2 linked regions of the Oryctolagus cuniculus genome follow. The protein of the gene in region 2 interacts with the protein of the main gene of each other region in a biochemical or structural test. Links are inferred from orthologs where the notes say so. Each region holds a gene or a part of one and is shown on either strand. Other genes may lie near its edges.

What was found.
Region 1: the proteins of CEP43 (region 2) and S100A6 form a complex in vitro, tested with the Homo sapiens proteins (2 studies listed by BioGRID and IntAct, with this or other methods). The link is inferred for Oryctolagus cuniculus from reciprocal best matches to the Homo sapiens genes CEP43 and S100A6.

Annotation. Positions count from the first base shown.
Region 1 is NC_091438.1:44,763,663-44,766,330, reverse strand, and holds S100A6 (protein S100-A6), read right to left. Parts: upstream 1,316-2,668; 5' UTR 1,297-1,315; coding exon 1,159-1,296; intron 835-1,158; coding exon 700-834; 3' UTR 600-699; downstream 1-599. UniProt on the Homo sapiens protein: May function as calcium sensor and modulator, contributing to cellular calcium signaling.
Region 2 is NC_091436.1:2,051,221-2,054,867, forward strand, and holds part of CEP43 (centrosomal protein 43), read right to left. Parts: intron 2,151-3,647; coding exon 2,038-2,150; intron 71-2,037; coding exon 2-70; intron 1-1. UniProt on the Homo sapiens protein: Required for anchoring microtubules to the centrosomes. Required for ciliation.

The DNA of each region.
Region 1 (2,668 bases), on a different chromosome or scaffold from region 2:
GGTTTTGTTGGGGTTTTGTTACTTTTTGTATTCCTATTTGTTTGTTCTTTTCGCCCCGCCCCGTTTGGGCGCACCCTCTGATCCACGTTTCCATGGTGCTGCCAGCTCCTCCGACCACCACCCCCAACTAAGAGCTCTCCGCACCCGGGACACGGGCAGCCACAGTCACCCCAGTCACACTGTGGCCTCCATGATCGTGGAAAGGTCAAGCCTGGCTCGGACAGCCGAGGCTCTCGGTGGAGAGAAAGTGAATGGGCCCCACCCAGGGCCCGGCCAGCCCCTCCTCTCTCCTGGTACCGGGAGCACTTCCGGGAGCCCGAGAGGCTCTCTGTCCCACTTGGGAGGACCTCAGCCATCACAGCCCAGCCCAGCCCTGGCTCCCTCTCCTCCAAGCTCATCCCAGAGCCTTTCCTGAAGATGGCTTTGCCCAAAGGCCCCCTAGGAGCGAGCAGCAGCCTTGGGTGGGGGTGGGGGGCTCCTCGGGCCTGGCGGGTGCAGGAGTCACTCTCAGAGGCTGACCGTGCACAAGGGCTTCTGCCAGCTGGTGCATCACCAGGCCCAGGAGGGGTCAGAAATCACTGGGAAGCCAGGACACAGGGTAGGTTAACAAAAAAAAAATATATTTATCTTACAATCACCCACACTGGGTGTGACCCAGACAGGCCCCTGAGGGGTGCCTCCACCTTCCCCAGTCTGTCTTCAGCCCTTGAGAGCTTCATTGTAGATCATGGCCAAGGCCCCCAGGAAGGTGATGTATTCCTGGAAGTTCACCTCCTGGTCCTTATTGCGGTCCAGGTCGTCCATCAGCTTGACAATCTCAGCATCCTGCAGCTTCTAAGGAGGCAGAGGGGACACGCCGCTCAGTGGTGAAGAGGACCCCCACTCGCTACCTTCCCGGGCGGCCCTCAAGGGTTCCCTGCCCACTTATCACCAGGGACAGCATCCACCCGACTCCTAGGCTCCTCACTCAGTGGCGTGAATACCAGGCTGAGAGCACCCCCTGCCCCGCCCCCGCAGGAGAGTGGGACCAAGGCTCAGTGAAGCATATGGACCAGGACCCTGGGATGTGGTTATGTGGGAGTCAGGTGCACCTGACACACCTTCGGAACCCTGTTCCTACCAGGTGCCAATGGGCGGGGCCTGGGGACAGCTACTCACCGAGCCGATGGTGAGCTCCTTTTGGATTAGTTCCTTCAGTTCCTTCTTGCTCAGGGTGTGCTTGTCACCCTCCTTGCCAGAGTACTTGTGGAAGATGCCGATCAGGAGGCCAATGGCCTGGTCCAGGGGGCTTGCCATGGTTTCAGCTGGGCTGGGACTGGCAGCAGAGGGGCTGGTCAGTGCCAGGGCGGCAGACTCTGCACTCCCCACGCTGCCTGCCCCAACACCCAGCCTTGGCCACTTGGGGTAGCATTAGGGGAAGGGGGTGAGGAGAGGCCGACCTGGACCAGGGAGCAGGTGCCCCCAGGTGAGGAATTGTGAATTACCTCCAGGGCATCCAGGGGAGGCCGCAGAGTGTGGCTGGGCTAGGATGGAGGGCGGCAGCACACACGGCCTCTGGCACAGCCGGCCAGGCCACACACCGCGGTAGTGACACGCCCGGGACACACCCTCCCGCGCCCCGAGAGCACTCTACAGGGAGCCAGGGGATGCCTTAGCCCGGGGCCTGGCTGGCGTGGTCCAGACGCTCCTGCCCGGGAGCTCCACAGACAGACGCGCCCGGTACGGACGTAAACGCCTACCGCCCGCGGGCCAGGGCAGGGAAAAGGTCCCGGGGCCGCCCAGGGGAGGGAGGACTCACGGTACTGCAGGCTGCGCGGCGCGGAGGGAACGGTCAGGACCTGGGCTGGGCCGCGGCCGGGCGGCCTTATAGCGGCTGGCGTCGGGGAGGCCGGCGGGGCGGGACCCACCGCACGGCCCACGGCCCGCCCCGAGCCCCACCCTGCGCCCGGACTTGCACAACCCGCCCCCGCCCACCCCCCCACCACGGCTCCTCCCGCCTCCTGCTCCGAGTTGGGACCGATAGCCGGATACGTTGGGGAAGTACGGGGGGCCTAGTGGGGACCACTGCAAGCGGTGATGGGGGCGTTTCCCTAATTTTTGTAGCTCGACGTGCTTTTCGTGACACGTGACACGGCGTGGGGGAGGGGAGAGGAGGAAGAGGAAGAAGCCCCTGGTCAGTCCTGCATCTTCCTTAGCCACCTAAGCACCAAAGCATGAAGATGTCCCCGGAGGCAGGGTCCCCGGCGGGGAGGGTCGAAGGTGGGGAATCTCACAGCATGCAGGTGCCCCCCCCCCCCCAAGATGTGTACAGCTCCGGCCCCGCCTGGAGGAAGAAGGCTGAGCGGCTGGTGATCTGCAGATGCAATGTTTAAAACACCCATTCCCCTTTCCCCCACCAACAGCGAATCCCTTCCCCCACTGCCAGGAATGGCGCTGGAGCCTCTGCCAGTTACTGTGCCCACACGCGGGAGCCAAGCCCAGGAAGCATCATTAGTTATTCACACTCCAGTGGAAAGTTTCCAGATTACCTCCAGAGAGAAGATTTTGACAGGGAGAGGGAAGAGAAAAAAGCGGGAGCCCCCAAGACCAATTTGCGGAGTGGAGGTGCTGGGGGGACATGGAGGGCAGCGAAGGGCTGGCCTGGAGGCCACACTGCCCCGGGTGAGAC
Region 2 (3,647 bases):
CCTAATCCCAGGGACCCCATTTTATCGTTGACTAGCTTCAGATCCTTCAGCACCGCGCTTCCTCTCTTGCCTGTAAACAAACAAAAAATGACCAGGATTAAAGTGACTTTCAGAACGCAGCCTCCCCCACACACCCGTCCTCCCTTCAGCAGGAGGCTCCTTCATCAGAGCAGGAAACCCAGAGTCAGGGAAAAACCGCAGACGGGTTAAGGACGCTCACAGGACGCACGCCCTCCCTTCTGATCACACACCACGCAGACGTCGCGCTCACCAGCAGCTCGGAAGTCTGCCCTGTGCCTGGGGTTATTTTTATCAGTGCTGTTTTTCCTGGGGACTTCTGGACTTTGCTTCCACTCATCCAGCACTTCATCTACCAAGCTGACCTCTTGTCACTTTCACCTCTTAGTCCTCAGTTCTCAACACCCTGTCCACGTCACGTGCAGTCAGAGTGACATCATCGTGCCAGCCTGGCCTCTTTCCTGAAGGCGGCAACAGCCACAGACAAGAGCATGGCGAAGGCGCCATGAGCCACATTCTGGCACACTCTGGCTACCAGACGCTGACGAGAAGCCGGAGACCACTTCTCGTGTGCTGCAAGCCCCACGGTGACAAAAGCTTAGGAAGGACTGCACAATCAGGCAAAACACTGCAAATACTAGTCAATCTATTTCAGGAAAGTCCTGCAAGAGACGCACATGTATGCTCTAAACACTGCCAATCACATCCTGTCTGGTGTGACACAGCACACAAGGTCGGTCTGCAGATCTACATTCTTTAAAGATTTATTTATTTATTTGAAAGAAGAGTTAGAGAGAGAGAGAAAGCCAGAGAGGTCTTCCATCCATTGGTTCACTGCCCAGATGGCTGCAATGGCCAGAGCTGCGCCAATGTGAAGCCAGAGCCAGGAGCTTCCTCCAAGTCTCCCACGCAGGTGCAGGGGCCCAAGGACTTGGCCATCTTCCACTGCTTTCCCAGGCCACAGCAGGACTGGAAGTGGAGCAGCCAGGACTCAAACTGGTGCCCATATGGGATGCTGGCACTGCAGGCGGTAGCTTTACCCACAATGCCACAGCACCAGCCCCTACATGTTTGTTTTCAACTCAGCACTGTCACCACACTTAGGAGGGAGGGGAAGGGACGTGGTGAAGGAGTCTGGCTGTTCCATGTCTACCTCCTCATCTCTACTTCTGTAAACCTAAGAGACATGTGAGATCCCAGTCCCTGAGGGCAGACGACTGCTTCATTCAACCTTCCTATAAAGATTACTGCGGCATCACAGAACAAATTTCTATAAATAACTGAACCAGGGGGCAGCACTGTGGCATAGTAGGATAAGCCTCCATCCCCTATGGACGCTGGTTCAAGTCCTGGCTGCTCCACTTCCAATCCAGCTCTCTGCTGTGGCCTGGGAAAGCAGTAGAAGATGGCCCAAGTCCTCAGGCCCCTGCACCCACAAGGGAGACCTGGAAGAAGCTCCAGGCTTCTGGCTTTGGACTGGCCCAGCTCCAACCATGTAGCCCTTTGGGGAGTGAACCAGCAGACGGGAGACCTGTCTCTCTCCCTGTCTCTTTCCGTAACTCTCAAATAAATCAAATCTTTACAAAATGAATCAAGAAATAACTGAACTTAAATTCAGCTCAATTAATTCTAAATGTGCGAGAAATGACTTAAAAATTATTATATCTATTCCTTGACTTGAACTCATCTCAGGGTGAAAATCAGAAGCCAGAAGTGCACTGAACAGGCCTATGCTGCTAACACCCTCACTTAACAGCGCAGCACACGGCAGAGCCGCGGCCTTCCCTCTGCTCACAGGCTGACTGGGAGTCCCCGCCTGAAGTCTCCTGATGGGACAAGGAAAGGCAAAACGATACAGAGAATGCAACCGCTTCTGAAAAAACAAAAACACACGAGATTTTAACAGGAAACATCGAAATGATAAAGTTATGGGCTATATTACGATTTTCCTAGGAAAAGAATCCACAGTCATCGTATCCTACTTCACTGTAGAGAAACGCACCTGACACAGATACTCACTCTCAGAGTCTTTCAAGGAGGGGGCTCCCTCCAGTGAGCTGAGTCCACTCCGCACGGGGGGCGCGTCTGAGAGGGGGGCCAGGCTGCCCACTGGCCTCCTAGCTTCACTTCTCCTGACAAAAGGCACGCGACAGTTACATGGCAGTCTCAGCGCCTGCCACCGAGGGAAGGCACAGCCCTCAGCCCAGAGCCCTGCAGCTGACACCGCTCGCAGACCCACAGAGCCAGCCAGAAGGAAGCAGCTCGGCTCTCGGCGGCTCCTTCCCTCTCCCCAGCCACACGGACTGCTCCAGCCCGCCCTCCCGGAGACATCTCAGGAGCCCTGTCCCACCCTCAGGAAGGCAGCCGTGAACAGAGGAGCCCACTGGCAAGCCTCCAACAGCCAAGCTGGGGACGTGCCCTTCAGCGGACAGCGCCAACCATGAGGGCTACCGATACTGCACAGCAACCCAGCCCCCACAGCCCCTTCCACACCTCCTCTAACCCCTCACATCTCCAGTCCTCCTCCTCTGGCCTCACGCAGCTGTGAACTCAAGGAGCGGGTGCACACGTCTCGCCCTGCTGACAGGGGCCACTCCGCTCGTCGTGAGGACAGTGAAGCCACTGCCTCAGACCCTGCAGCCCGCCCGGGGAGCCTGACTGACGCACTGGCTACTCTGGTCCCAACTCTGCTTCCTGCTAACGAGCAAAGACCCTGCGAAGCAGCAGGTGACGGCTCAGTGCTTGGAGACCCAGACACAGTTGCAGACTCCCAGCTTCAGCCTGCCCAGCCCTGGCTTTTCAAGATATTTTGGGAGTGAACCAGTAGACAGAAGATCTCTCTCCATCTATCTCTTTCTGCCTTCCCAATTAAAAAAACAAATTACGACAAGACATTAAGGGCCAGCATTGTAGTGTAGTGGGTTAAGCCACAGCCTGCAGAGCTAACATTCCATTTGGGCACCAATTTGAGTCCTGGCTGCTCGACTTCCAATCCAGCTCCCTGCTAACGCACTGGGAAGGCAGCAGAAGACGGCCCCAGTGCTTGGGCCTGCACCCTTGTGGGAGCCCTGGACGAAGCTCCTGGCCCCAAGCTTCAGCCTGGCCCGGCTCCGGCTGTTGTGGCTGTTTGGGGAGTGAACCCGCAGACTGAAGATCTCTGTCTCCCCTCTTTCTCTTTAACTCTTTCAAATGAATAAAACTTAAAAATTAACAAAAAAAACCAGGAGCGGCACGGCACCTCAGTGCGCACGGTGCTCTTCGCACGCTACCAGCCGTTCAGTCCCACATCCCGCCCTGCAGCCACCACCTCTGCACCCCTCACAAAACTCATCAGAAAACCAACGCGCTCTCTACAATTCCTGACCCACTCCAGTCCTTCCAGGCATCCCTGTCCTCATTCGAACAAAGCAGCCTGAACTCCATGGCTGAATCTGCTGAGGGGTTTCCAGCACATGTTCACAGGGCCTCTTCCAGCCTCTCCTCCCTCTCTCTCTCTCACCTCCCTGGCCCCATCCAGCCTCCCTCCCTCCCCCCTCCCTGGCCCTGTCCAGCCTCCCTCCCTCCCTCCCTCTCTCTCACCTCCCTGGCCCTGTCCAGCCTCCCTCCCTCTCTCCCCCTCTCTCACACCT